Linked DNA regions of Mus musculus. The main gene of each other region encodes a partner of the protein of the gene in region 3 in a complex. Links are inferred from orthologs where the notes say so. Each region holds a gene or a part of one and is shown on either strand. Other genes may lie near its edges.

Region 1 (4,760 bases), on a different chromosome or scaffold from region 3:
TTTCTCCACCTCGAACCATGGGCATTTGGGGACATGTCGCTCTTCACAGGAGTGGGGCATGTCCTGTGCTGTAGGGCACAGCTAAGGAGAGGTATTTACCAGGCTTCTAGCTGTCTTTTGTGTTGACACCATTTGATCTCCGAGATATGGGACGCATAGAAGGTTAGACACTTGGCTCAAACTTGATGGGTTCCTGGGGTGGATTCCAATTGGGGCTCAAGAGTTATGAGGAGCGCATCTGTTTCTCTCACTCCTCTCTCACAGGATGGAAAGCCTGTGGCTTGCAGGCTGCCCACTGGCAACTGGCACTCAGATCACCCTAAAAACTGACCCACCTTTTCCGGGGCTCCAGCAGAAAACTGACCGTGCAGCCTGCGAGCATCCCAGGGACCAGGCTTCAGCCAGAGCTCTAGTGAGGGTACAGCCTAGCAGGACACATGGAATCTCAGAAAGGAGGGGTGCGGCAGGGTGAGCCTTTGGGGAGCCACTCCCTGGCTCAGCACTTTCACTGGGATTCATACCACATGTGGCGTCCCTGTCACACACTCTCCCAGATGCCAGTTTGGATTTGAACAGAAACTATCAAACTGGTTAGTTCAGGGGTATGTGTGAGGAAATCACAGGAGACTTTTCCAAGGAGTCATTTGCCCCAAGTGAGGATTGCATCTAAAATGTTCCCCTATGTTACTGCAACCTAGCATGGGTAGAAAAACTGGTCTGCAGCCCTGGGCTGGACTGACAGTCTGAACACAGACCCAGCATGTATGCAGGGAAGCTGGACAAACACCAAAGAATCACTCTGTCTCCAAGCTCACACTGATGGCAAGTAAACACAGTGATTCAATTAGCAAGCTGGAGTCCCTGGATCTGGGCTCCACAACAAGAACCGTGTCCAGATAAAAACAGCAACACACCGACTTCCTGGGATGTCCGTTTCACTTGTAGTTTATATATAGTTCAACAAATAGTCCGGAGTCTCAAATCCCCAACCCCCCTTCTAGGTCCCCAGCATGACAGACAAGGAGAGCATGCGTTCCCCAGTACAGACGATCCAAGAGCTGATCCACTGCTGTGCCCAAGAGAAGTTTGCAAAAACAGCAGCTTGCAAAGCAGTCAAAGCTGTCCGAGCTGGCCTGCCTCGTACCCACAGCTCGCCTTTCCTGACAGCTCAGAGCCTTTTGATGGTTATGCATGAAAATGTTTTAAAGTGCACGTGGTCTCTCAGGAGATGCTTTGTAAACACAACAGCACACAGAGGAGAGTCAGCGGGAAGAGAAAAAGACGTATCTGCTGGGATTTCGGTAACTCTTAATAAAGCCAGCAGGTTGACTAAGAGAAGAACCAGCTGGTTTATAGAAGCGTCCCAGATCAAGATCTCACATCCTACAGATTACTATACTTTAAAGAAAAACAGAACTCTTTCTTCCACATAGCCATGCAAGATATCAAAGTCTATCTCCAAGGAGATCTGGCCAGTAGCAGGGCTCGTGAAGAACACTATGAGCTCAGTGATTCCGCTCATCACAGCTGGGTTCCCAAGTCATTAATTCACCGATAACCTCATAGAGTTGTGTTTGTTCTCCCAAGACATAACATCAGCCAGACTGCTCAGGGCTACGTCAAGAGCACAGGTCATTGGACTGAGAGCAGAGCCCTTTTCTTGGTAAACACAGGCGGTCCTTACATGTGGTCAAGCATAAGTGTTCTATTTACACAAGCCTTCCAGGGTGCAGACTCTGGTGCACTAGTAAAGAAACTTAATTTATTTGCTTATTCTTAAATAAAAGGGGGTGGGGGAGGGGCCCAACCAGCTCCCTGTGCTGCTAATGTTCATCTCTTAGGAAACTGAAGCTAAAATTTCACATCAAGCCAAAAGGATCTGAACATAGCCAAAGACAGCAACATTATTATAAGGTTTTGATTTTCACGCAAGTTTAGCCAACACATATAAGGGGCAAATCCACCTTTAGATTCTATTACACAGAAACAGATTTTTAAAGTGTAGATCTGGCACTCCCTGGCAAGGATTAAAAACAGGAGAGCTCTGCCCTGCAAACGGTAGGTGTCCAGTGCTGTTCCTGCCCAGTCACCGGGGACAGGCCACACTGCCCCAAGCTGCTTCCTTGGCTATAAACAGCACTAGTGGGCAGCCTTTGCCACCACCAGAGCCTGTGCAGCAGGTGCCTCTGACCAATACCATGGGTATGGGAAAAGACCACAAGAATCATCAAGCCACAGGCCCTTCCAGGGACACTGGACCGACTCTTTGTTTGCTTTCGTTAAAATGTAGCTATGTACCTGAATTATGTCCAAGAGGTATGACAGCCCCGGGTCCTGAGAACGTTACAGACAAGGGAACTGAGATGGGCAGTTTCTTGTTAGTCACCCCTGGGCTACAGTTTCTGATCAATCTAAAACAAAATCCCAAGCAAGTCTGCCACCTCTAATATTTATTAGCCACACACGCCAACAACAACCACCCTTCACCCCTAGCCTCCCACCCTCCGTGGAAATAATAGTCTCAACCAGCAACTGTTGTAGGTGAGAGTCAGGCTTCCAGTTGTCCTTAGTGTCCGGATCCCTAAGCTGTGGCTCTGGTTGAAGACTGCACATCTGTAAGCTGCTTCTGGCTCAGGGAGCTTGCATCAGTTTGGAGAACTGAAGTGCCGACAGGGGAACCCCGCGACCCTATCCCTCCCGGAAAGCAAGCTGCCCATTGTATGATCAAAAGTTGCTGATGCCTTCGGATGGCCCGCTGGATGATGTGCCCAAGCCACCTCGTCTCCGTGGCAGCGTAAGGTGGTGCAGCGCCCCCTCCCCCGCCCCCATCACCACTCTACTGTCTTGCCCAGACCCCATGCCCTGAGTAAGGTGCGTTCAGGTGCTGCCCTCCCGGCCCCAGGTCACCACCAACGCTGCAGCCCGGGCTACTCACCCAGCAGCAGCCAGAGGCCGCACCGCGGGAGGCCCCGCAGGCCCGGGGCCATGGCAAGCAGAGCCCCACCGTCCCAGCGCCTTGCCGAGCTCTGCGCCCGCTGGAGACGCGCCGGGGGCGGGAGCTAAGGAGAGACCGCGCCCGGCCCACTGCGGCTCCCACGCCCGCGGCTGTCGAGGGCGGAAGCTGGCGGGCGGCACCTGAGGCTGGAGCGCGGCTGGGACTAGAGGGGAGCCTCCTGGAATGTCTGCAGGGCCGGATGGGCTTGGAGGGTCTCCAGGTCCCCAAACTCAGCACCTCGCTCTGACGGCTGGGTTCCTCAGCTATCCTGTGGGCTCTGCAAACACCCCGTGGTCCCATCTCCTTTTCCCCGTGGGGTGCTGGAGTGGTGTGGCCAAAACCAGCCCTGACAACCAACGTCTGTAGGACAAGAAGTGGAACCTCAGGAAAGATGGTCAGTGGGAACAAGGCTCCTTGGAGGGACAAAGGTGTGCTTGACAGCAGGTGGTGACAAGCCAGGGTAGGGTAGCAGAGTCCATGAATACCGAATTTAGGGACAAAAGGAATTGCTAGGTAAAAAGGTGAGACTTCCGTTGGGGTTGGCTACTGGCCATGACTCTACACAGGATGGACCAGTAGTGGTAAGGGAGACTTGGGTGTGTGAATATGAGCAAGAAAGGCCATGTAACACCGGCAAGCTGAGAACCCTGGGGCAGATACCCCAAGTACAGGCTAGGCCTGACCTGGAGAGTCATGGATGCAGCAGCTCAGACTAACTGAGCAGGTCTGCACTCTGCACGCTGCAGGTGAGCAGACTATCACTGGCCCCATACACTGGCAGAGACTTCACTCAGGTTTACAATACTGGTGGGTGAGCAGCGTTCCTCACAGCAAGGGGAACAAGGCTAGAGGCTGCTGCCACCTTCTGGCCAAGCGCTCAGGACCCTTAACAGCAACCTGGTATTCATCCTGAACACAGGCCAAGCCGACATTTGGGGTTCATAAACCTATGTCTTGGGGACCCCACATGTCCTAAAGTCAAGGGGACATGGGGAAGGGAACACATTCTTTTGGCTTGGCTAGCCCTTCGTTTTGAACCTTATGAAGCCCTGCCAGGAGGCCAGCCTCCTTTCATGGACAGACATGGGAGTACGGGCAAGTCATGGCTGGAAAGCAGCTGAGCCCTGCCTCATTCAGTCCTTCCTTTCATGTCTGCAGCTCAGAATCTAGGCTGTGAGGCTCCCCAGTAATTGCCCTGAGTTTCTCCCAATTCACACAGAAAGGATGCAACTCGTTGACACCCGGCCTTAGTGTGGCTGCCCTAGGACTGCAGGTTGGCATCTTCAGTCTGTGAGATTTGCTCACTTCTAACTGGTCATCAGCAGCATTGGATCCCCTCTCACATGGGCATGTGCTGACACTGCGTTAAAAGACTGTCAGAGGGAGAGAGGCATTAAGGTAGAAGTCAGCAGGTCTACTTCTGTACAACACCTTCAGTGGATACAGTTCCCATTTATACACGGAAAAGTAACCAGACCTCAGCAATTGCCACAGTAGACAGTTCAGGGAGCCCTGAGAACAAGAAATCAAGGCAGCCTGGGGCTGCCTACTAAGTTTCCAGACTTCAGCAGGATGAGGGAAGCCATAGTCCAGAAACCAATCTAAGAAACAGAGAGAACGCCTCGGGAAGACATCTGAGAGAGGCAGAGGGCAGGCTTCACACTGTACGTAAGGACACTCCCTGAAGTGCACAGCAGCAGCAGCAGAGCATGTGCACACACAGTCTGGAGCAGCCCAGCTTCCGCTACCGTAGAGGGAAACAAAC
Region 2 (4,815 bases), on a different chromosome or scaffold from region 3:
TGCTGGCTTATCCTTTTTGTCCTGATTAGCGCCCCCTCCCCTTAGCACAGGGGCAGGGATAATGGCCTAGATGTTGGCCCCTCTTGAAGGAGGATGACTGACCAAGTTAAATCAGTTTTACTTTTAATTAGACTCCTTTGTTATTGCTGTAGCAAGCCCAGGCTTCCTAGGTTCTCTTTGCTAACTGGTTTTTAAAAATGCTATTTTTTTTAATCTTTAAGATTTCTTTGGTTTATATGTATGGGTGTGCACAATTGCGTGCGGCACCCTCAGAGGCCAGAACGAACTGGATCCCATGGAGCTGGCGATACAGATGATCATGCGCTACCTCCAGTACCTGTGGGAACCAAACCCAGGTCCCCTGTAAGTGCCCTTAACCACTGTGACATCTCTTCAGCCCTAAAGTAGTTACAGGGTTTTGTTTGTTTATTTGCTTGTTTGTTTTTGTTTCTGGCTTCGACCAGAATTTTCTCAGTGAAAATTCACAGAAAGTTGTAGTGAGCCTTTCTAGGTCAGGAAAGGTGAGCTGAGCTCAGTGATGGGGCGTGGGAGACAGAAGTGCTTGTTTAGGTGGGGAAAGCCATCCTCCCAGGTCTGGGCCTTAGCTCTCAGACCAGCAAGTGCTTTCCTGGGGGACAATAAGCTTTGGAGGACAAAGAGGTCTGCTTTTCTCTTTCTGAGGAGTGGTCCCAACATTGGGAACAGGAAGCTGTCCTGGGCTTGAGGGACAGATGTAGTCTATGGTGGGAGAAACTGAGGCCTTTTCTTTTCTTTCTACCTGCTGATTCCAGAAGCCAGGTCCTTGGAGGCCCCGTCACTGACCCGCCTGCCCTCAGTTAGCTTCAGACTTAGCCATTTGTGTTTGCATGTGTGCACACCCAAGCTCCCCTCCCCAGTGCCTCAGTCTGGAAGAATGCCCCCCCCCCCCCCATCTGCTCAGCAACCCACTTCATGCCCTTCTCTGTCCCTTGGAGACAGGCAGGGCTCTCAGACTTGTCTCTGCTTAAATTTATGTGCCTGGCTTAGGGGGGTCCCACAGGACCTGCAAGGATGAACCCCGGGTTTCTCCGAGTTCAACCTCTTGTCTGTCTTCTGCCTGGCTCCCCTCTATCAACCTGTACTGCATAACTCCCTTCATTTCTCCAGCTTGCTTCCCAGTTTGACACTGAGGTTAATCCGGCTCATCCCCAGACCAAACCTGCAGTCTTCCGGTTAGAACCCCTTCTCCATTCCCGCCACGCTGGACTGGCTCTCCCACCCGACTGCACTTCCCCTTCCTCTGTTCCAGTCTATATCCCAACGCGACCCCCACCTCCTGTCCCCACCACCTGCCCCTCCAGAGAGAAGCTGAGAATTCTAGGCAACGGAGGGAGTCAGGGGCGGGGTGGGGGCGTGGCCTGGGTTGGGGCTCTCCGAGGTCCCGCCCTGGTCCCGCCCCAAGCCTCTTACCTCCGAATGTCGCTGTTGCTGCAAGCCGGCTGCATCTTAGTTGGCCATGAAGACCCCAGCACAGCGGCTGCACCTTCTTCCACTGTTGTTGCTGCTTTGTGGTAAGGAGACATTTGGGTCGGGGTACTCCATCTCCTCGGGTCCTTGGGACCCACGCGGACTCTCTCCTTCCCGCGTCCAGCCTAGGCTGCGCTCTTCCCCCCCCCCCCCCCCCCCCAGAGTTTGGAAAAGACACAGGCACGCTGACTCCAGCACATCCTGCAGGTTTTGTGGAGGGTCTTCATAACTCCTCCAACCTTAGAAGAGCTGAGGGAAAAGGCTTTGAGCTGCAAGGGCTGCACAGTTCCCTGTGGGGTAGAGATATTCTGGGGTCCAGGGAAGGGTCTTTGGTGAGGTAGTGAGTTTCTTTCCCATCCTGCCCCGGGCACATGGCACACAGGTGCAGGTAGCTAGAATCCTTTTCCAGTGAGAAAATCGGACTCAGGGAGAAACATTGCTTTCACAAGATAGAAATGGGATAAATATTAAGCTTGTTTTGAAAGGGGTGTGGAGGGAATAAAGTTAGTAGGGAGACATATTAAAGGAGCCTGAGGGAGTTTAATGGGGCGGGGAGAGTAGGAGTGGATATGCTCAAAATACTTTGTATACATATGTAAAATTTCAAAGAATAAAAAGTGAAGTATCTTACTGAAGAAGTTACCCAAGGATAAATAAGAGGATACATGTATGTGTATGTGTATGTGTATATGCTTGTGTACACACATGTATGCATGTACCTGTGGCTCTGGGTGTGCCTGATTGTATCTGTGTGCCTGTGTGGGCATGTGTGTGCATGAGTGCCTGTGGAAGGGTTTGATAGGAGAGGGCTTGCTGGGCAAGGCCAGTGCTTGGCTAGAACTGTGAGGGAAGCTGTTGGCAGGAGGGGGCTCTGTCCTCCAGGAGGAGGGGCTCTGTCCTCCAGGAGGAGGGGCTCTATCCTCCCTCCAGGTGGAGGGGCTCTGTCCTCCAGGGCCATGGTCCCGAGTTTTCCTTACTCTCCTGGTTCAGCCTCCTTGGCTGTAAGATGAAGTTGGACCTGTTTGTAGTGTCTTCCTCAGTGTTGATGACTTGGGATGCGGTCTGGGAGTTGGGACAGAGGTGGGCCAGACTCAACAATTAGTTCTCTCCCTTTGAAGAGGTCTCTGCTTACAGAGTGAGACCATTTTTCGTGTTCTACAGTGGGCGCTCAGGCTGGGGTAGTTTTATGTTGAAGGCTGGGACTGTGACCACCTCCAGAAGGCAGTGAGCTGTTTTGGGATTTCAGCAAGCCTCCAGTGCAAGGCTCCCCTGGTGAGGAGTTTGGTTTCTAGAGGAAGGAGGTCCAGAGTTTATCTGGAAGGAAACCATGTCTCTCCTGACTGTTTCTAGTATGGAACTGGGAAGCAACACAGACAGAAACCTCATGAAATTGTAGCAATCCTGGTCCCCAATGGCCACCTTTCCATCCTACTGTGGAAGTCCCCACAGTCCCCAACAGCCACCTCCCTATCCTACTGTGGAAGTCCCCACTGTCCTCACCCATGGGACCAGGCTTCTTAGTGGCCGGTCAGGTTCAGCCTTCTCACAGACCTGGCTACAGTGAGTCTGGCCAGCCCGGGAGTCAGAGATGAAACATGTACTGTCACACGCAGTCTGGCCAAGGTGGGGTCTGAGCTCTGCAAGGGATGAGCTGAGCTTCCTAGCTCCCAGGAACGCTGACTGCCACCTATGCTTTGTTGACACTGTGATGTCTGGAACTCTAGATTCTGAGCCTAGTCACTGTAGAGAACAGCATCAGGAGAGCCTTTGTTTCCAAACAATAAAGGTCTCGGCCTGTGGGGCTTCCTTGAAATTCTAACGTACTCTACAGGGACACTTTGATGCTTCTCAGGGTCCTGGGATGAGGAGTCCAGCAGGTAGGTATCCACCTATTGGCTCTTAGCCTCAGTTTCCCTGTTGTTGGCCTGAGTGTAGCTGTGGAGTGCTGCTGTACGGACTGGCTTGAGTCAGTTAAGTTTGGCCCAGTCACTCTGTGGTGGAGCCGAAATGCTCATGGAAAAGCAGAGGCCGCTCCTGGTATATGTGTTCCTGTCACCATGAGTGAGAGCACCCGGGATCTGTGTGTGCACGCATGTGTGCGCGCGTGTGTGCCCACATGTGTGTCTGGGAATGTGAACACAGTGCCCCAATTTTTATCATGAGTTATATAGTAATGCGCTCTGCCTCCCTGTCACCTGTCACACTCACCTTGAGCCAAGCAGGTGGCAAGCAGTGCTGGAGACCTAAGGTCTTGAAGAAGGTGGTTTGTTAAACAGAATCTTTAGTACTGGAGCTGCCTTGGAGGTCATTTGGCCCATTTCCCGGATGGGGGTTCAGGTGAAGGGAGAGAACTGCCCTAGAGACTGCAGCCCCCAGTGCCAGCCAGCCACGGCCTTTGTGCCCTAGAGACTGCAGCCCCCAGTGCCATCCATCCACGCCTTTGTGCCCTGGAGACCGCAGCCCCCAGGGCCAGCGTTCATGGCCTTTGCGCCCTAGAGACTGCAGCCCCCAGTGCCAGCGTCCACGGCCTTTGCGCCCTAGAGACCGCAGCCCCCAGTGCCAGCGTCCACGGCCTTTGCGCCCTAGAGACCGCAGCCCCCAGTGCCAGCGTCCACGGCCTTTGCGCCCTGGAGACTGCAGCCCCCAGTGCCAGCGTCCACGGCCTTTGCGCCCTAGAGACCGCAGCCCCCAGTGCCAGCGTCCACGGCCTTTGTGCCCCAGTCTGTTGATGCTTATTTCCACAGAGGATGAAGGCGCCTGGGTTCATTTCCAGATGACTGAAGACAAAGGGCCGTTCTCTAGGAAATGCATCTGTCCGGCTGTTTATCATCTCTCGGCATCTGGAAGTCACTGAGACAAAAGATGCACGGGGCTGAGTGTTCTTTGTTTCGGAACAGAGCCATCCAGAATGGATTTCTACTTTGATTTAGTTCCTGAGAACTTTACAGATCAGCCAGTAGCTTGAGTGGCGGTGACCCACTTTCATGGAGTCCCAGGGGTCAGGGTCTTTACTCAAGACTGCTGTTATTTTGGGTGGGTTGTGGGGTGGCGCTGGAAGCCCTTTTAGCTTTGTATGCATCTGAAGTGATGACTAACTGGGGTCCCCTGGGAGGGCACTGCCTGTGACCCTGTGCTTGTCTAGTGTGGGCCCAGAGCATTTCGAAACACTCCTGATCAGGGCAGGGAAGTCAGCAGGTCTGCTTGAGGGTGGCACACAGTCTTCATGGCACCTCACACCTGCATGGGACAGACTCTTGCTGTGTCATGCCCTGAGGGGCTCAGGGGTAAACCAGGCTTCTGGGAACAGGC
Region 3 (4,237 bases):
ATATTATACTAAAAATCTTTTATTTCCCTAGTACTTTTATGAATATACATTAGTTCTTATTACCAAATACAAAGAGATGGTCCAAAAGTTGCTGAACTTCTTAATAACATATTATATAACTGAGTTTCTAGCATTTCACTTATATAGTGTTTGAATTATTGAATAATTAAATAGACATTTTATTAATTAATTTTGAATTATATTTAAGAAATGGGAAACTCCATTTTGACCATGCTTTTTCCATTAATACTAAAACATTAAATAAGACAGGAAAACTGTTTTTATCTTAAGTGGTAGCATGTAAGAGACTTAAAAGTAACCCTAAAACTGTAGTCTCCTATAAATCATTATTGGTTGCAGAATGTTTGGAGAAGGCACAAGAAAAGAAACAAGACAGATTTTATAAAATATTTAATATGGACTTTACACAAATATTTTGAACAGAAAGTTAATTATATACTCTTAATATCTGAGGATGTTAAGAGTATATGAATTACTAGATTTCTTTTTATTCTTAGATTCCTTTGGGTGCAGGCACAAAATATTAGATGGCAGATTGGGAAAATCTATTCAAACAACAAACATCTAGGCAAACATATATTACACCACAGGGATGGGGCAAATATATTATGACCTAAAACTGGCCAGCCTCTACTCAGGCTGTACACAGTTATCAGATCTGTTAGTATAAAGATGATGGCATCTAAGACTCAGCTGACTATTTTCATTTGTGTTTAAGGACTCAGCATGAAGGAAGTCTTTCTAGAGTCCTAATTCAATCAAAATAGAAGTCAGTGTATCTGACACAATTATTCATAATCTTTAATTTCAGTCAGGAAAAAAGGCATTAAACTTCACATTTGTTTTAAGAAAGAAAGCTATGGGCTAGAGGAATTTTAATCCAGCAAAATGACTGCTCTGGCAAGAAACCACATATCCAAAGACCTTCTGGGTCTCTGTGATCTGGCTGGAATGCAAACAAGCCTTTAGTAAATGCCTTTAATCCCAAACAATACAGGTAAGATTAGTTTACAGAAGGAAGCAGTCATGTTTGAAAGAAACATCTAATTGAGGGATAGACAAAGTGATGAACCAGAGAAAGATTTAAAAGACTGATTCAAAGATAGGACATGCCCAACTCTCATGAGAACAACATAGGGAAGAGAATTTAGGGCATCATAAATACGAAGTGAACAACCTACTAAGGAGCTAATTCTCATTCTCTCTCTTTCTCTCCTTTACCTTTTATTTTTATACAAGATATAAGTAAGATACTTAGGTAGGTCTGAGCTTACTTAATACTAGCATGCAGGCAGGTGTTGATCTTGCAGTATTCCTCCTTCAGTTTCATGTGTAACTAAAATTATAGACCAGGACCAGTTTGGTCTTCTTCCTTTAAAGAGCAAAAGCTTTTCTGCCAAACATTTTGTTATGCATCAAATAGAGTATTTTCAGCTCAACTAATGGGTTGTTTTTGCTGTTTCTGTTTATTGTTGATCAATAGGTTCAAGCAATTCTGAGAAGAAATTGGAACCAGTATAAAATCCAATTTGGAAATGGCTTTTCCCACTCTGATGCTCTCCGCAGTGCATCCTACACAGTGTCAACAATCAGTGACATGCAAGGGTACAGCCATGACTGCCCCACTGAACACTTAAATGGAAAAAGCATCCAGGATATTGAAAATGTTGCCTTAAAATCAGAAAATATGTATGATCTAGTGATGTGAAAATATATAAAATCACACACTTGAACCTATGATTTTATAGCCAAAAGATTGGATAGCCAGCAAATGGATTTCTGGAATACCATGAAGAAAGCCCTCAAATGAAATGGGAATTGTATGGATAAATGTTTAACAACCCTCTCTCTATGGGGGAGAAAAGCCTCAATTTATATTGTTGGCCAGTAACTACTCCTACCATAACTGATTTCAAGTTACCAACCTGACATCACTGAATGTGTAATTGGAAAGAAAATAAGCACAAACAACTCCCAGGAGCTGACATGTTCTGGAACCTGCACAGCACTGCATGCCCTCAGAGATGGAAGTCTGTGCACACTCTCACCCACACTGACCAGAACTCTGCTCTTCTCATCTGAGGAGACCTCACTCGGACTTACAGACATGAAAGGAAAGTTTGGTTTTTGTTATAAAACTCCTCATCCTTTTGTCATTTGGTGATAGTGAATGGTTTGTCCAGAAACACTTTAACCCTCTTTATAACTTCTCTTGTAGACTAGACAAAGAGTTCATTATCTCTGTGGTCTCATGTTACTTTCTTTAAGAAAAGCAACTGAGCAGAATTCCCATGGGCTTCTTAGTTGCTGCTACATATTGTTGTATCCTGTGGTATATGCACTCTGAATCACTAGGGAGACATATTGGTAGAAGCTACACCTTGTCAGCTCTCTCTCTCTCTCTCTCTCTCTCTCTCTCTCTCTCTCTCGGCAAGAATAGGAGGAAATCAGTTTTCTGGAATCTGTAAATAGAAACTTTGGCCTTTCCATTTCTACTGTGTAGATAAGTAAGTGATCAACCATTTTACATGAAGGGAATCAATGAAGGATTTCTTTTTATCTTGGGAATCTGAGAGAGAGAGAGAGAGAGAGAGAGAGAGAAAGAGAGAGAGAGAGAGAGAGAGAGAGAGAGAGGTTGTACAAATGAAACTGTAAGTACTCTGTAATTTTATTTTATTGTTTCAATTCAAAACACAACCTAGGTAACTTTTAAAGCAGATAGATGATGCAACATTATATGCAACTTAGTATCTGATACTGTGTCTGGGCTGATTTATTTTATAGTAAAATAGAATCATGAATTCTATACTTGGTAAATATTTTAAGGACAAACAGATACCAGCATCAGAAGTTTGAGAACTAAAAACAAACCCCAGAAATATCAATGATAAGATATGAAATATTTATTTAAAAATGTAAAGCCATAATTTTACAAGCATGATATATTTGGTGTGCTGACATACTGCTTCCAATATGACATATTCCAATTTGATGACAACTCATTCAAATTCAGAAATTATGAACAACTACTGTAAGAAGTGCTAGTCTGCTACATTTGTGGGCTTTAATTCACTAAATTATAGCTTTACTGATTTTTACTAAATGAAGATACATGCTTTTGAAAAAGACCCAGGTTATTATTTTTTTATGAACCACAGAGGAATTTTCTCTATGTAATAACACTGTTTCAGTATTTCAGTAGACTACTGTGGATGATAATACAAGCCACGGGAAGACTTGAACTTACCACTCATTGAGGATGAAGTGTCAGATATTTAAGTAATAATTAAATTAAGACAGAAGAAGATTTTGCTTGTGAGTTTAAGTGACATTTTAAATGGATTTAGTTTTTCCAATATTGCTTGGTTTGGAGTTTCTGAAGAACAAGATTGACTTCAGTTAGTAAAAGTCACTCTGGGGACAGTTACATGAGTCCATGTTTTTTAAAGTGTGTCTGTCAGTTTACAGTGGATGAGAGGAGTGACTCAGCCCTCACTCATTGTCTTAAGCTATAGAAGAGAATAAATTAAAAAGTTGTTTGAAACTGTCAAGGAAAAGAATTCAAATTATCAAGCACTGATGTATTACATGATCTGACAGACATATTTGTAATTTTCTTTTTTTTTTTTCTTTCTTTTTTTTTTATATTTGTAATTTTCTGAACTTTCAGCTGCTTAAACCGTACAAACCTTCCTTTTAATACCTTCAGACTTTAGGTATTGATTATTCATATCTTCGCTGACAGTGTTCGTGTAATTCTGCATTCTTCTAAACAAACTGTCAAGTATTAACAATAAATGGTAGTACAGAATGCCGAATTACCAGAGAACATACTTAAAAGGTATTGTAATTTTAAGTTTTATTATTTTTTTACTATACCGAGTGTAGCTGAGATTTTTTTACTGCCAATATCTACTGTGGTGTCATTCTCAGCCATAGCAGTCTAAGATTAGTCAGTATTAGTTTTGTAATAGTATTTTTGAAGCTGGATTTCTCTAAAGCTGAAGTGCCAATTAAAATATTTCTATAATGCTTGTAGAAAAAAAATCCAAAAATTTTGAAAGAAAACTTCTCTGGTGCCTAAAAATTAACTTGGGGAGTTTTTAGCTTTTAAAAGTTGCATCTATTATTTTTCTCTAATACTTTGTTAGAGTCATGGCTGACACTTTTAGAAGCGACTTTGTATTTTTTTGTTGATAAACCAGCCTTCCTGGAG
Region 4 (4,787 bases), on a different chromosome or scaffold from region 3:
CAGACAATCCGGGGATGAAATGAAAGGAAGGGTACAGAACGGGACAGAAGCGAGAAAAAGTTCTAGGGTCAAGTTCTAGGGTTCTGTGCTACATGTGCTGCTTGGTGCAGACAGGCTAGCCACTGGCCAGGGCTGCTGCGGTGACTGTCCCACGGCCCAGAAGGCCCTAAGGCGGGCCAGTTCGCCTAGCTGCAGCCCTTTCAACATCCGTGTCCCAAGCCCCTACCAGAAGCAGAACCTGGGAATCTGTCCCCTGCCCAAGGGGGAACTCCGTTTTGCAGTTTTAGGAGGATAAGTAATCTCGGCGCGGCCATTTCTCCCCCAGGTGCAATGTCCATGGTTGTCTGGAGGGTGACAAACGGGCTGAACCAGCAGTGCTTAGCATAGTCTGCGCTGTGAGCAAGGTCCGCGGGACAGGAATGCCTAGTCGGTTTTGCTCTTGGTCTAACACTTAGAGGCAGATAAGGTAGGACACTGGGAGATCTGCCGGGGTCGCCAGGAAGAGGACATGAGTTGTCTGTGTCCACATCACCAGGGCTGGGGGCTAGGAGCTGTCGTAGGTCATGTCTTTAGCTTCGGGACCTTCCGGGAGACCTGCATGCGGAGCTACGCCTGTCGCCCAGTTTGGCCCTAGAAGGGAAGAAAGTGAACTCACGGATCTGTGAAGAGCACCAGCCCGTGGCAAACGTGTTCGAACTGATTCATCGTGAATTAGCACATATCTCTGGGCTAGGCGGGGGCCGGCATTCTCCCCCCACCTGATGAGAATGGTGACCCCAGCCAGAAAACCGAGCCGCTGTGCCCCAGTCTTTTGAGTCCAGACTCTACAGCTTCCCACCTTTAGTGTGACTGGGCAATAGACTTACCCTTTCGGCACTTCACTTTAATTCAAGAGAACACCAGCTCGGGAGTGTAGAGATCAAAAGCGATTGGGATCTGGCTGGGATTTGTCAACTGTAAAGTGATTAACATATGTGAGGCATTAGTGTGCTCCCAGTCAGTCAATCCTCACGTTTATGATGGATGAATGAAGGCAGTCAGGTCAACTCGCAGGTCATAGCCTTATAAGGGATAATAGTATCACAAGGAAGAAAACAAAACTATCTCTCTTCCTAATTTTGGCTATTCCTGTATTTCCAAATAGGAATGTGAGTTCTGAATTTTCAGATAACTACCCTCTCCAAACCCCAATTTCCAATTCAGCTGTTCCCAGTTCTGCCCTTATTACGAAATCCGTACTGGCTAGTCTATCGAGAAACCCCTCAGTCCCAGTCACTGGAGACTGAGCCTCTCCCTTCCAGGTGTACCCTGCGGGCACAGATGGGGGTCGAGGCTCAGTCAGGTGCTAAGCCGGCAGGGGGCGCGGTCCATTTGAGGTCACAGCTCCCCAAGTCCGGGGTTTTGGTTATCCATGTGTCCCACCCGTCTCCCGGTTCTTGCAGCACTGTCCAGGAAGCTCAGATCAGCACTCTGGGTTGTACACATTATGGGCAAAGGATTCACCCCACCCGAGTTGTTCTGGTTCCCCTTCCCTTCTCACTGTTTGAACTCTATGCTGGGAAATTAGGGCAAGGGAAGTCCTGCTCCAGTCTAATCTCTCAGAGCGGATCTCTGAGATGTCTAGCCACAGGGGACCTCTTACCCCTACCCCCCATACCCACAGGCAAGCTGCAGGGCAGGTCTGGTTTTAGAAGCAAGCACGCTGGAGAGGGAGGACTCCAGGGCAAATCTGACCACGCCCACCGTCCGCCCCTGAGCGCTTATAAGACGCTGGAGCTGGTGCTCACTAGTCAGTGGTTTCTTGGTGACACTAGACAGAGCAACTCCAGCGTTACCGCTCCCGCTCCTGGTTTCTCGGCTTCTCATCGCAGTCAATCTTGGACTTTGGGGTTTTGCTACTGTCAGAAGGACTTCTTTCTGCTTCAAGTGCTTGACAACGCACCCCTTTATCAGGTAGGAACCGCTGGCCTCCAGCATGTTAGGGAGGGGGACGGCTTTGCCAAAGCCCCAAAACTTGCAGAGCTGGACAAGGGGGAACAACCCACTTTAGGGTATCCAATGTAGAGAACACCTCATTGCCCAGGTCTAGCTCATGCGCACAGCTGGAGCTCTCTTGAGATCCCCCCTCCTCCTTGGGCTGAGATCCTGGGACTTTAGTTGGAAACCTCTGGAAGCCTGGCACTTCTCAATGGCTTCCTTTGCCTTGCTTGTCACCCACCCGGCCAGCGCAAAAATCTCCGGTGTTTCTCTGCGCCAGTGGGGGAGATAAGCAGCTGAGCCAGGAAGAGCGCTGCCAAGCGGCTCCCCGTCCTGCCGCCACCCTTCGCGTGCTGACGGGATCGTGCTGCTGGCCCGGTTGCTCACACTCGGTGTCTTGTTCCTTTCCAGGGTATCAGAGCATCGCCACAGAATGAAGCTGGTTTCCATCACCCTGATGTTATTGGGTTCACTCGCTTTCCTAGGCGCGGACACTGCAGGGCCAGATACTCCTTCGCAGTTCCGAAAGAAGTGAGTTTGGGCCGTGCTTTCTTTCTTCACTTTGAATACCTGGCAATGAGAGAAAACTGAGAGATGGTCTGGAGGTGTTACAAAGGGAGTGGAGCTGGCTGGGACATCACTTGAACTTAGGCCAAACGCATCTGCTTGTGTTTTCTAGGTGGAATAAGTGGGCGCTAAGTCGTGGGAAGAGGGAACTACAAGCATCCAGCAGCTACCCTACGGGACTCGCTGATGAGACGACAGTTCCTACCCAGACTCTTGATCCATTCCTGGACGAGCAGAACACAACTGGCCCCCTACAAGCCAGGTAACTATGCTCTCTGCAGAGGATGTGCCCTCTCCACTACTCTGACCCTGGGGATTGTCCTGGCTGCACTGCAGCTGAGGCTCCGGCGGAGGGAACGGGTTCCAGGTCCCTCGGGTACTGCATGGCTCCGGTCCCAGGTGGTTGGGACCAAAGCCCCGGTTGATGAGGTGTCCTTCCTTCTTCACAGCAATCAGAGCGAAGCCCACATTCGTGTCAAACGCTACCGCCAGAGCATGAACCAGGGTTCCCGCAGCAATGGATGCCGCTTCGGGACCTGCACATTTCAGAAATTGGCCCACCAGATCTACCAGCTAACAGACAAAGACAAGGACGGCATGGCTCCCAGAAACAAGATCAGCCCTCAAGGCTATGGCCGCCGGCGCCGGCGTTCCCTGCTGGAGGTCCTCCGGTCCCGGACTGTGGAGTCCTCCCAGGAGCAGACACACACAGCCCCAGGCCCCTGGGCGCACATCTCCAGACTCTTTAGGATATAGGTGCGGGTGACAGCATTGAACAGTCGGGCGAGTATCCCGTTGGCGCCTGCGGAATCAGAGAACTTCGCACCGGGGCGGACTGAGACAATCCTGCAGAGATCTGCCTGGCTGCCCCTAGGGGAGGCAGAGGAACCCAAGACCAAGCCAGGCTCATGCCAGAAACCGAGACTTACAGGCTGATACTCTCCGGGCAGGGGTCTGAGCCACTGCCTTGCCCGCTCATAAACTGGTTTCTCACGGGGCATAAGCCTCATTACTACTTGAACTTTCCAAAACCTAGCGAGGAACGTGCAATGCTTGTTGTCCAGCCAAAGGTAACTATAGTATTTAAGTTTGTTGCTGTCAAGGTTTTTTTTTTTGTAACTTCAAATATATAGAGATATTTTTGTACGTTATATATTGTATTAAGGGCATTTTAAAGTGATTATATTGTCACCTTCCCCTATTTTAAGACGTGAATGTCTCAGCAAGGTGTAAGGTTGTTTGGTTCCGTGTGTGTGTGTGTGTGTGTGTGTGTGTGTGTGTGTGTGTAAGGTGGAGAGCGCCTGATTATCGCCTGTGGATGAAGAAAAAACATTGTGTTTCCTATAATCTATTTACATAAAATATGTGATCTGGGAAAAAGCAAACCAATAAACTGTCTCAATGCTGATTCATTCTCGGTTCATGCATTTGGGGAAGGATGGTGGTCTGGGTTTGGGTCGGCCTGGAAGTGCTGAGATTCTGCTTCTTGTTTTGGGAAGATTGAACTGCATTGTGGGTGCAAAGCAACCTCTCTAAGCAAGGCTTACCTGTTGTGAGCTCTGGTGTCCATGTGGATGCACAAAGCGCGTGTCCTGGGAGGGAGTCAAGAGTTCTCTGAGATACCCGAGTTCACCTCCTTGCATGGCAACCAGACCGGGTAGGGTAGGGTGAGCCCTAATAGGCGAGCCTGGGCTCCTTAAGTTGCGCAATATACTCCCAATTTTATAGGGTTGCTCACTGGACCTGAGCTAAGGCGCTCTTTGGAGACTTAAACTGATATCCAAGGCTTTCTAAGTAGAGTTTATGCTCCAACTGTGGGTGTTAAAAGCTACCGGGGGTGGGGGACCCGCAAAACGTTCGCACAGCAGCTCTGGGAAACCCTCAGCTAGCAGCCCAAGTCTTCACTGGGCCCTGACGTCCATAAGCGGGGCTGTAGCGCCCCCTGCTGGCCACCATGCGTGCTCCCCCAAAGAGCGGTAGAGTAGTACGTGCGGTTTAATAAGTTCTTCTACGTGGGAGTCAGCACATAGTCTTAATGAAAGAGGAAAGAAAGGGGGGGAAAAAGCAGTTTGCAGATGCCAACTGGGCTCCCCTCCCTTCGTCTTCTCCCCCCTTCCCCGACCTGCACGCGGGCTTGCTGTGCAGGGGCAGTGACTCAGCGCCCACACGCTGCGCGGCGAGCAGCTGCTGGCCGGAGGCGGGCGGATGGACGTGCAGCCGGAACCGTGCGCCTCCGAGGGCCT
Region 5 (4,728 bases), on a different chromosome or scaffold from region 3:
GCACTGGAGGCCTCCTAGACAGACACCTCTATCCAGAGAAGGCAACTTAGCTTGGGCATGTCCACACTGTAGCCTCTTCCTGTGCGAATGGCTTCCTGCACCATCAAATAGAAGGGCTGTGCACTGATCTTCAGCTTTCTTGTCCCTCCCCTTCTCTGCCTAGTTTCCCTGACCCATCTGTCCTGTTGTCTCTACATCCCTTCCTTCTGACCTCTCTAACACCTGCCTCAGCCCCAGGCTCACCTGCTTTGGAGGGGTCACATTTTGCTCATTTTTGAAGGGGTTGTAGACGCAACCCAGGGTCTTGAACACATAGAAAAGCACTCTACCTACCACAAAGGTCCATTCCCCAGCCTTGGCTTGCGGGGGGGCGGGGGGGGGGTACGGGGTTGGGGGGAGAGGAGCAGGGTTTTGCTATGTAGCCCAGACTGGTCTTAAAACTAACTAACAATCCTACCTCTGTTTCCTGATGCTGGTGTGCACCACCATGCTTAGCACACTGCTCTTCTGTAAGTCTGACGAAACCACCCTTCCCACAACTGATAAGAACAAGCAATTGGGTGACTCTGCTAATATTTTTCTCAGAGGGTAAAGTAACATCTTCAGCATGGTTTGCACTGAAGACTTGTATATACGCATCCGGCAAATGCTTACTGAGCACCCGTGTATGTTCAGCAGGAAGGACAGAGTGACCAAGTCCCGGGGAAGCCCCACAAAGGGACATAGTGAAATAGAAGAGGAAACACAGAGAGTTGAAGAGATGTTCCTGCAGTCAGAAAAAAAATAAAAAGTGCTTCTGATAGGTTTTTTTGTTTTGAATAGTTTTGTCAGGCTGACAAAGATGTTAAGAACTAATGTCACAGAATCCACGGTGGATGGTGGATTGGCACAATCATTGTGAAGAACAATTTGGTATATACCGCATGTGTGTGAGCTTCCAATGGTAGGGGTTTTAATTGTGGAAAAATCTGAAAAAAAAAAATCACTGGAATATAGATTAACCAAGGACCTATGGTATGAATACAAGCAAAACCCAACAATATGTTTATGAACATGTCATAATAAAATCCATAATTCTATATGCTAAAGATTAACAAAAAATAAGTCAAAAGGAGACATATCAAAGCATGAAAAAATAAAAATTAGCGTTAAAAAAAAAGGCTGATTGCTGGGATGGTGGTGCAGGATTGTAATCCCAGCTATTCAAGAGGCAGAGCTAGGAAGACTTCAGGTTGAATTCCTCCCTTGGTGACAGAGGGAGTTCAGGGCTGGCCTGAGCATCTTAGGGAGACCCTACCTCAACTAAGAAGGCAAATAAGGTAACAGAGGATGTAGCTCAGTGGTGTGTGCTTGAGTTGTTCACTTCCCAGTGGGAGGAAAAAGCTGATAAAAAAAATAATAAAGCAACTCACAGAACACCTGCATACTTTCAAGTATGCCCAACCCTAAGAGTGCCTTTATGTTAACACACCACACACACACACACACACACACACACACACACACACACACACAACTTGCTTGTGCATGCGTGCATAACTCATGCAGAGAATACTGTGTGCAGAAAAGAGCAACGACTCTGTCACCCAGAATATTGCTGTGGCGGGGTCTCTCTTTGTATTTGTATTACAGTATTTGGTAATGAGGAGCAGCCTGCCTGGGAAACAGGCAGACCACGGGAATCTGCCATCATCTCCTGGGGATGCTGGGCAACCACAGGTGAATGCCCTTGTGGCCAGAGCACAACTCCCTACCTTAGCACTCACCTGCCTGGTCGACCATTTGGCTCCACTAGTCTCTGAGACTTTGTCGCGCACCAGAAGGTACCAGGAGTGAGGGCAGTAGCCCCACGGGGTTTCTGGTCAGCTGTTGAGCATTTCCCAGCAAGGATGGGCCCCTTGAAGTGACCTCCTGTGGCTCTACTGCTTTCTGCTGGGCAGGAGTAGCCACCAGGAGAGCGTGGCTACCGCAGCCCACCCGGGTGGAGGACGCTCCGCCCCATCAGCGTCTGGGCCACGCCTTTAGCTCCAAAGACTACTTAGTGCTGGAAGTGCTTCCCAAACTGGTTTTCCGCTGGACCCCAGAAGGCTCTCTTTCCTAGGAGACCACGACCTGACCCACAAGTTCCGTTGCGTGCTCTGGGAACTGCTAGCAGATCCCAGCTTTGCCAGCTGTCTCCAGATCCTGAGACCTGTGCCCCGACAGACAACAGACGCAGGTACCAACCAATCTTCCCACATTCCGAGCGCCCGGGGGCAGAGAAGGGCTCCCCAACTGGTGGGCAAAGAGGGTTGGCTCCAGGCCAGAGTGGCCCACCTCCTCCACCCCATTTGCTAGCTTCACTGCATTCTTGCTCCACAGCCCAGCCCGCCATGGCCCAGTTGCTGATGGTCACGGTAACCCTCGGTTGCATCAGCCTCCTCTACCTGCTCCCCGGCACGTTGTCTGGCAGCCTGGGCAAGGGACTGAGGCACTCCAGACCCAGGTGAGTACAGGGTTGGACCGAACTCCTCAGGGGGAACCTAACTTTTCTAGAGTTCATCTCCCAGCTCAGGGGCCACCCTCCACCTTTAGTGTTGCCTGAACAAGGCAGGAGAACTTTTTTCTTCCTTTGCCTCTTTCTACTTGGGGTACTTATTCCCCCACCCCCACGGATACAATTGACATTGAGGTCTGCTGAAGGAAGGGAGCTCAGAGATTCTCAAACCTGCTGGCTTCTGACCACATAAGGGAAGAACCCGGGGTGGGGGAATGGGGGTCTTTCTTGGGGACCTTTGCCCAGAATGGTGTTGTTAATGGTACATGTGACTTGGGCTACTGAGATGGCCAAGCTGCCAGTAAGCCCAGAAGGATGGTGGGCTCCCCTTCCCAGCCTTCAGGTTGGAGACCAAACTTTTGGGCTTCCCCTGGTCCTGGGCCAGGCTTTTAGGGAAGCTGCGGGCTTCCCCTGCCAGTGCCCTCGGACTGTGAAGAAGAGAAGTAGGTGGTTTTAAAAGGCTTTTGGAAGGCTCCACTAGGCCACTGAGTTTACTACATCTTTCTCTCCCCTTCTGCAGAGAGCCCCCAGCTAAGATTCCTTCCAGTAACCTGCAGCCTGGACACCCTTCCCTTCAGCCTGTAGTCTGGAAGTCTCGTCGTCATGCCCCCCAGCCACAGGGAAGGGGCAACAGGGCCCTTGCTATGGTTCATCTGCCTCAGGGTGGTGGCTCACGACACCCTGGTCCCCAGCGTCCCACGGGATCCCGAAGACCCCATGCCCAGCTCCTGCGGGTTGGCTGTGTACTGGGTACATGCCAAGTCCAGAATCTTAGCCATCGCCTGTGGCAGCTTGTCCGGCCAGCTGGCCGGCGGGACTCAGCTCCTGTGGATCCCAGCAGCCCCCACAGTTATGGCTGAGGTGGGTCCTAGGTACTCCATCTGGAGTGCTGTGCTCTGATCCCAGAGCTGCAGCTGAGCTCCATACCTTGGCCCGATTCTCTGGAGCTCCTGCTTGTAGCCATTCCTCGTGGCTTTGGATACCCTAAACCTATGAGGATATGTGGATCTAGGCTGTAGAATCTGCACCGACAGGGGCCTGCGCATCTCAGAACTGTGTACACTCAGGGTACAGGTGCTTGGAAGAAGTGCTGCCAATATCATAGGCCACCAAGAACTCGAGGAGGCGTGTACCTAAAGAAATGGGCAAAAGCTAGAATCTTAAATGCATCTCTACCTATGAATAAGCAGGAAGAAGGCTGGAGTGACCCCTGTGACCCCACCCCACCCCCAACCCCAACCCCAACCCCACTGGGAATTAAAGTCTGACTGTGGGCGAAAGCTGTGGCCACTCTCTTGTGCAGTTTACCTTTCTGTATCTGATCTGGAACAATGACTTTTTCCATTCGTGAACCGAGACAGGAGGGGCAGAAAGAAGGGCTATCTGGTGTGGTCCCTAGAGTCAGTCAGAAAAGAGACCTCCAGTGGCTGTGGGTAACCTGGAGTCCAGGCCAAAGCGGTGATGGAGACTCCTGGGCATTCTGGAATAAAATACGGCAGAGACAACCCTTCTTACCCTCAGACCAAGGCAGGGGATAAGACAAACCTTATCTCTTATTGGCCCATCTCTAAACGGTTGAGTATGACCTACCCCTAAGCAAGAGATGGTGACACACAGCAACCTCAGCACTCTGAAGACTGAGACAAGAGGATGAGAAATTCATGACCAGCTTAGGCTGTGTAGCAAGATCCTATCTCAAAAACTCAATCAACAAAACTACTCCAAATCAGGGAAAAATAAACAAAGTCAAACCTACCTCAGGAAACCAACCAACCCAAGCCTACCTCAGGAAAGCTGGAGGCATTTAAACAAGGTGGTCTCTGCAATCTGCCCACCCCCATCCGATGAGGACATCCGGCATAAACAGTAAGATAGTAGAGGCTGACAGGCATATTCCTCTGTTCCTAGCTGAGAGATCAAGAAAGGGAAATTGGGTGGCTGGAGAGGTGGTTAAGAGCACTGACTGCTCTTCCAGAGGTCCTGAGTTCAAATCCCAGCCACCACATGGGGGCTCACGACCATCTGATGCCCTCTTCTGGTGTGTCTGAAGAGAGTGTCAGTGTACTCACATACATAAAATAAACATTTCTTTAAAAAAAGGAAAGAAGAAAGAAAAGAAAGAAAGAAAGAAAGAAAGAAAGAAAGAAAGAAAGAGAGAAAGAGAAAAAGAGAGGAAGGAAGAAAGGAAGGAA
Region 6 (4,313 bases), on a different chromosome or scaffold from region 3:
TAAAGAGTAAAAGGGCAATTCTCTGAAGAATTCTTCCATTCTTGGTCCCCAGTTTGAAGTGGCTCTGAGGCTACCTGGTTCTCTGCACCTCTGATCCTTACCAACAGAACTTTGAGGTGTTCAAAGGGCTACCCCTACCCCTTATAGCTGCCTATAATTAATTCCAGCTGCCTGTGGCCAGCTGGAAGTCTTGCAATGCTTTTTTTTTTTTTTTTTTTTTTTTTAAGGGAGGACCATAAAAGATAACTTTGGTGGACAGGAATCAGTAAACTGGGACAACAGCAACAGCTGAGTTCAAGGGTCAATGTCTGGGAGTAATTGGGAAAGTTTTGCGCTGACAGCTGTGTGCCTGGAGTTGAAAAGTGCGGCCAAACAAGCCCCTGGGCTAATTCAGGCTAATGGCTGGCTGGCCCAATATACAGCAACAGCTGAGTTGTGATAGCTGGCAGGGTCCCTGGGGGCCCAGACTGAGCCTTTGGGGCTTCCCAGTAAAACGTGACCTTAGCCAAGTCACTCAGGAAAGGAAAAAAAGAAAACCGGCTTCTCTTTCCACAAAGGAGATTCCTCCAGAGCAGGAGGAGAGCAAGGTCCTAATAGTGCATGAGAAAACAACGGACAACCGTATAAGACTCCAAGGCTGTAGAGCTGGGGAAGGTAGATTTGGGAACAGAACTTTTCAGTTCAAGTCCTGGGGTCTCTCCTTGAGCTTTAGCTGCCTCCTCCTCTATAAAATAGGTGATGGTGATAATATGCTTGCTTGCCTTGGGGCTGAGGTTCCAGGAGCAGCAGCAGCAGCAACAGCAACCACCACAGCAACAACTCACCTCAAACACTAAGAAGCACATTGGAAGTTCTAGTATCTCCCTTCGCTCTAGCAACCTGGGTAGCCATTTTCCTGGAAATGTAGTCAACTTACTTTTTGCACTCCAATATCAGGTTTGTGGGTAAAGGTCTCAGAATTTACATTGAAGGGGGTTTATTTAGACTTTAACTCCTCCCTACCCTGCTTCTCAGACCTTCTTCCTTTCTCAGTAGAGCCAGGCCCCTCTCCTCTCCGGATTTTGGCAGACATCAGTGGGTGTTCCCTGGGAAAAGAAAGTGGGGCGGGCGCAGCTCTTGACGCCGCTTCCCCCAAACTCCCCTGCCTCAGATACCCAGGCATCGGAGGCCTTTGGAGCTCCCAACTGCCTCCTTCTTCCCCAGGTCTGGGACGGCAGCTGGTCCCCACCCCTCCGGTGCGAGAAGGAGTGAACGACTGGAATCCTTCGGCTGATGCTGGGAGACTTGAGCTAGTCCAGGGAGGGAAGTGGATCGCAGTTCACGGGGTACAGGGGGAGCTGTCCAGCCCCGCAGCCCGAGCTGGAAGCGAGAGTGGGCCAGGGCGCTCCGGGCCGAGCGAGGCGCGGGTGCGGCAGTGACTCCCCCTGCAGCCCGCCCCCCACGTGGCCGCCGCCGTGCCAGCCCCTCCGAGGAAGCGGCGCAGCTTCCTGCGGCTCGGGCCGGGGATATAGGCGCCCCCGCCCGGGCCAGCTCAGCTCCGCTGCCCCTCCTCGCCATCTCACCCAAGGCGTGATGGCCCCGCTCCGGGTAGAGCGCGCCCCGGGTGGATCTCGGCTTGGTGTGACCCGCGCCCAGCGGCCGACAGCGTTGTGCCTCCCTCCGCTGTTGCTGCTGCTGCTGCTGCTGCTGGGCGGTGAGCACCGTGTCGGGCCCGGGTGGGAGATGTGGGAGGTCCGGGAGGGGAAGGGGCCTGGGACATCGAGGCCAGCACGGGACCACCCTGCGAGTACCAATCGACGTGCGGAGCACCTCTGAACTGCAGATGGGTCCTGAATACATCTCTGGGTTGGCGCAGGCCGGCTACTTCCCACTTAATGCTGCTTCCTACTTAAAAGCTGGGGTGCCTGCCCAGACCGGACGGAGAGGTCTTAGGAGGTTCAGGACTGATAAAGAGGGAGGGGGCTTTGGACCAGGATGTGATTGGGACGCAGCTGGTACCAGCCGCTCCCTTCCCTCAATAGGATAATCCCATGGGGGAGGTGGGGAGATTATTCCTCTTTATGTTCCAAAGCAGTGCTGACTTCCCAGGGCCTTGGTCACTACCCGTAAACAGGCACCACTATTCAGACCTCTCCCCACCACTATTCAGGCCTTTCCTTTCATTTCTTTATACAGCTGTCTCAGCCTCTCCGGAGTCCCTGAACCAATCTCTTCCGGAGTCCCAGAATCAATCTCATCCCACTGAGGACAGCCTTGTGTCAAAAGGTGAGTGCCTAAGTCTGTGGGAGAGTGACCTAGAGGGAAGGATAAACCCAACACGGGAGGAATCCTTTCACAAGACAACCTGAGGACCAACTGATGCCCTCTAACCTCTCTGGTGTCTCTTGGGGTTCCTATGGTCTTTCTCCCTACCACACAGGCCAGTGTCTTGCCCCAGTTGGGTAAGAAGGGCAAGACTGGGTGTGTGTGGATATGCTTTCAGGGCTAGGAAAGGAAATTCTATGCACATGATTGCCATTACAGGATCCCTGAGGCACTGAGTCCTGAGAGAGAATGCTCCTCTTAGTCACGAGTGTCCTGCTAGGGAACTTTTCAAAGGGGATTCCCTTCTCTGAAGGCAGAGGACTGTACTTTGGAAATACCTGGATCGGAAGGCTTGGAGGGAAGGTCAGGGGTGTGGTCTTTGTGAAGCCTATGTCCCCACAGGGAAGATGGAAGACTACGAAACACATGTCCTACCTTGCTGGTATGAGTACAAGAGTTGCATGGACTCTGTCAAGGACTGGTGCAACTGGACTTTGATTAGCAGGTAGGGGCAGTGTTGAAGGATGGATGGCTCAGGCCAGGAGTTGGACCTGTTCCTTGTGGGCGGGAACATCCTTCTCCCTGTGCCCATCCATTCCCTCACTCAAACCCCCTACTGCTTCCCAGGCATTACAGCGACCTGCAGAACTGCTTGGAATACAATGCAGACAAGTTTGGGCTGGGCTTCCCAAATCCCTTGGCAGAAAACATCATCCTTGAGGCTCACCTGATACACTTTGCGAACTGCTCCCTGGTGCAGCCCACCTTCTCTGATCCCCCAGAGGATGTGCTCCTGGCCATGATCATAGCCCCCATCTGCCTCATCCCGTTCCTTGTTACTCTTGTGGTGTGGAGGAGTAAAGACAGCGATGCCCAGGCCTAGGGTCCATTTCTCAGCAGCCATTTTTCCCCCCTTTTCCCTGCTGGAACCAGGAATGGCGCTCCTCCCCTCCCTACCCACTTACTCTCATCCTTCCCACAGACCTGTGGATTGGTGGAAATGGCAGCAAAGGGGACTCACGACACAATGTTTGTAGTCTTTAAAATAAAGTTATGTTTTTGTACAATATTGCCTTCCTAGTGGGGTCAGTATGGATGATAGTCCTACAGGGCATCATTACTGGGCAACAGAGCTTGAAGAATCTAGATGGCCCTGCTGTTCAGTTCAGTTCAGTTCACCTGCCCTCCGCCTCCACTTGAAGGCCATGTTCCTATACTTTTTCCTCCCAGGGAGGGGCCTTTCCTGCAGCTATCCAAACCCAGCTCCAGGAAATGAGCAGGAAGAGACTCCCTTCCGGCCTGGACAGCAGCTGGGGGCCTGTAGTTGGGAAGGTGTGGGAGGAGGGGCAAGAAAGCTCTACAGTAACTCCTGCAAGGAAGAAAGGCTACCCGGGAGCCCAGTGTTGGCCTTTCTTCGTGCCTCGGTTTACTCTAGAGCTAGAAAGAAGAAATATGATTACCAACAGGAATTAATCCGTACGAATCTCAGGCTTGAGGCTGAAGGCAATGGGGCTGGCGGGTGGGGGGTGGGGGGAGATTCCTTTACAGGATTCTACTGTTCCCCCTCTAGTAGGTTCCTGGCCTTTATCCCACATTGTCTAAGAGATCCATCATGGCCACACACTGCCCCCTGGTGTCCGCTAAGATCAACAACAAGACAACGTATAAAATCTAAAAGAAGTAGCCGGGAGTGGTGGCGCACGCCTTTAATCCCAGCACTTGGGAGGCAGAGGCAGGCGGATTTCTGAGTTTGAGGCCAGCCTGGTCTACAGAGTGAGTTCCAGGACACAGAGAAACCCTGTCTCAAAACAAACAAACAAACAAACAAAAAACTAGAAGAAGCACCAGGCTGAGAAACACGGGGTGGGGTGGGGTGGGGTGGGGTGCGTGTGTGTGTGTGTGTGTGTGTGTTCATAAATGTTATCTCTGTCACAACCTAGTTCTTAGACAGGCCCTTCTGTACGCTTCTTGAGAAATATGGATACAATATTCTATTAACACATCTACGT

Evidence for each region.
Region 1: the proteins of Calcrl (region 3) and Ramp1 are in contact, whole or in part, in a cryo-EM structure (PDB 6E3Y), measured with the Homo sapiens proteins. The link is inferred for Mus musculus from reciprocal best matches to the Homo sapiens genes CALCRL and RAMP1. Residues at the interface, in NP_001258680.1 of Homo sapiens: Asn39, Met42, Thr43, Gln45, Tyr46, Glu47, Tyr49, Gln50, Lys51, Ile52, Met53, Gln54, Thr68, Trp69, Asp70, Gly71, Arg113, Arg119, Thr120, Phe228, Leu231, Ile235, Thr239, Val243, Ala244, Gln250, Trp254, Tyr255, Leu258, Phe262; in NP_005846.1 of Homo sapiens: Trp59, Ile63, Tyr66, Arg67, Ala70, Phe83, Trp84, Pro85, Asp90, Phe93, Leu94, His97, Gly98, Phe101, Arg102, Cys104, Pro105, Ile106, Ser107, Gly108, Arg109, Ala110, Val111, Arg112, Asp113, Pro114, Ile118, Leu119, Phe122, Ile123.
Region 2: the proteins of Calcrl (region 3) and Ramp3 are in contact, whole or in part, in a cryo-EM structure (PDB 6UVA), measured with the Homo sapiens proteins. The link is inferred for Mus musculus from reciprocal best matches to the Homo sapiens genes CALCRL and RAMP3. Residues at the interface, in NP_001258680.1 of Homo sapiens: Arg38, Asn39, Met42, Thr43, Gln45, Tyr46, Glu47, Tyr49, Gln50, Met53, Trp69, Asp70, Ser117, Arg119, Thr120, Phe228, Leu231, Ile235, His238, Thr239, Val243, Val245, Lys249, Gln250, His251, Trp254, Tyr255, Phe257, Leu258, Phe262; in NP_005847.1 of Homo sapiens: Trp56, Cys57, Leu59, Phe62, Ile63, Tyr66, Glu67, Thr70, Cys82, Tyr83, Pro85, Asn86, Pro87, Leu88, Gln90, Ile93, Thr94, His97, Arg98, Cys104, Thr105, Val106, Asp107, Arg108, His110, Leu111, Glu112, Asp113, Pro114, Val118.
Region 4: the proteins of Calcrl (region 3) and Adm are in contact, whole or in part, in a cryo-EM structure (PDB 6UUS), measured with the Homo sapiens proteins. The link is inferred for Mus musculus from reciprocal best matches to the Homo sapiens genes CALCRL and ADM. Residues at the interface, in NP_001258680.1 of Homo sapiens: Val36, Thr37, Asp70, Gly71, Trp72, Asp90, Tyr91, Phe92, Gln93, Asp94, Phe95, Asp96, Pro97, His114, Ser117, Thr120, Trp121, Thr122, Tyr124, Thr125, Asn128, Val135, Ala138, Leu139, Leu141, Phe142, Thr145, Thr191, Leu195, Ala199; in NP_001115.1 of Homo sapiens: Cys110, Arg111, Phe112, Gly113, Thr114, Cys115, Thr116, Val117, Gln118, Lys119, Leu120, Ala121, His122, Gln123, Ile124, Tyr125, Gln126, Phe127, Thr128, Asp129, Lys130, Asp131, Lys132, Asp133, Asn134, Ala136, Pro137, Lys140, Ser142, Pro143.
Region 5: the proteins of Calcrl (region 3) and Adm2 are in contact, whole or in part, in a cryo-EM structure (PDB 6UVA), measured with the Homo sapiens proteins. The link is inferred for Mus musculus from reciprocal best matches to the Homo sapiens genes CALCRL and ADM2. Residues at the interface, in NP_001258680.1 of Homo sapiens: Val36, Thr37, Lys40, Asp70, Gly71, Trp72, Asp90, Tyr91, Phe92, Gln93, Asp94, Phe95, Asp96, Pro97, Ser98, His114, Ala116, Ser117, Thr120, Trp121, Thr122, Tyr124, Thr125, Asn128, Thr131, Lys134, Val135, Ala138, Leu139, Leu141; in NP_001240774.1 of Homo sapiens: Leu106, Arg107, Val108, Gly109, Cys110, Val111, Leu112, Gly113, Thr114, Cys115, Gln116, Val117, Gln118, Asn119, Leu120, Ser121, His122, Arg123, Leu124, Trp125, Gln126, Leu127, Met128, Gly129, Pro130, Ala131, Gly132, Arg133, Gln134, Asp135.
Region 6: the proteins of Calcrl (region 3) and Ramp2 are in contact, whole or in part, in a crystal structure (PDB 3AQF), measured with the Homo sapiens proteins. The link is inferred for Mus musculus from reciprocal best matches to the Homo sapiens genes CALCRL and RAMP2. Residues at the interface, in NP_001258680.1 of Homo sapiens: Arg38, Asn39, Ile41, Met42, Thr43, Gln45, Tyr46, Glu47, Tyr49, Gln50, Lys51, Ile52, Met53, Gln54, Trp69, Asp70, Gly71, Arg119; in NP_005845.2 of Homo sapiens: Trp86, Ile89, Tyr93, Ser94, Arg97, Leu109, Gly110, Pro112, Glu117, Ile120, Phe121, His124, Gln125, Phe128, Ala129, Cys131, Ser132, Leu133, Val134.

Annotation. Positions count from the first base shown.
Region 1 is NC_000067.6:91,178,316-91,183,075, reverse strand, and holds the start of Ramp1 (receptor activity-modifying protein 1 isoform 1 precursor), read right to left. Parts: upstream 3,255-4,760; 5' UTR 2,988-3,254; coding exon 2,936-2,987; intron 1-2,935. UniProt on the Homo sapiens protein: Accessory protein that interacts with and modulates the function of G-protein coupled receptors including calcitonin gene-related peptide type 1 receptor (CALCRL) and calcitonin receptor (CALCR). Required for the transport of CALCRL to the plasma membrane.
Region 2 is NC_000077.6:6,657,078-6,661,892, forward strand, and holds the start of Ramp3 (receptor activity-modifying protein 3 precursor), read left to right. Parts: upstream 1-1,455; 5' UTR 1,456-1,495; coding exon 1,496-1,550; intron 1,551-2,483; exon of another isoform or gene 2,484-2,568; intron 2,569-3,006; exon of another isoform or gene 3,007-3,159; intron 3,160-4,815. UniProt on the Homo sapiens protein: Accessory protein that interacts with and modulates the function of G-protein coupled receptors including calcitonin gene-related peptide type 1 receptor (CALCRL), calcitonin receptor (CALCR) and G-protein coupled estrogen receptor 1 (GPER1).
Region 3 is NC_000068.7:84,330,946-84,335,182, reverse strand, and holds part of Calcrl (calcitonin gene-related peptide type 1 receptor precursor), read left to right. Parts: intron 1-1,504; coding exon 1,505-1,729; 3' UTR 1,730-4,237. UniProt on the Homo sapiens protein: G protein-coupled receptor which specificity is determined by its interaction with receptor-activity-modifying proteins (RAMPs). Together with RAMP1, form the receptor complex for calcitonin-gene-related peptides CALCA/CGRP1 and CALCB/CGRP2.
Region 4 is NC_000073.6:110,625,869-110,630,655, forward strand, and holds Adm (ADM precursor), read left to right. Parts: upstream 1-1,788; 5' UTR 1,789-1,953; exon of another isoform or gene 1,954-2,388; 5' UTR 2,389-2,410; coding exon 2,411-2,508; exon of another isoform or gene 2,509-2,547; intron 2,548-2,656; coding exon 2,657-2,806; intron 2,807-2,993; coding exon 2,994-3,300; 3' UTR 3,301-3,952; downstream 3,953-4,787. UniProt on the Homo sapiens protein: Adrenomedullin/ADM and proadrenomedullin N-20 terminal peptide/PAMP are peptide hormones that act as potent hypotensive and vasodilatator agents. Numerous actions have been reported most related to the physiologic control of fluid and electrolyte homeostasis.
Region 5 is NC_000081.6:89,320,916-89,325,643, forward strand, and holds Adm2 (protein ADM2 preproprotein), read left to right. Parts: upstream 1-1,804; 5' UTR 1,805-2,218; intron 2,219-2,361; 5' UTR 2,362-2,372; coding exon 2,373-2,485; intron 2,486-3,056; coding exon 3,057-3,396; 3' UTR 3,397-3,816; downstream 3,817-4,728. UniProt on the Homo sapiens protein: Intermedin/ADM2 is a peptide hormone that plays a role as physiological regulator of gastrointestinal and cardiovascular bioactivities mediated by the CALCRL-RAMPs receptor complexes.
Region 6 is NC_000077.6:101,244,880-101,249,192, forward strand, and holds Ramp2 (receptor activity-modifying protein 2 precursor), read left to right. Parts: upstream 1-1,454; 5' UTR 1,455-1,572; coding exon 1,573-1,693; intron 1,694-2,175; coding exon 2,176-2,265; intron 2,266-2,706; coding exon 2,707-2,809; intron 2,810-2,931; coding exon 2,932-3,187; 3' UTR 3,188-3,371; downstream 3,372-4,313. UniProt on the Homo sapiens protein: Accessory protein that interacts with and modulates the function of G-protein coupled receptors including calcitonin gene-related peptide type 1 receptor (CALCRL) and calcitonin receptor (CALCR). Required for the transport of CALCRL to the plasma membrane.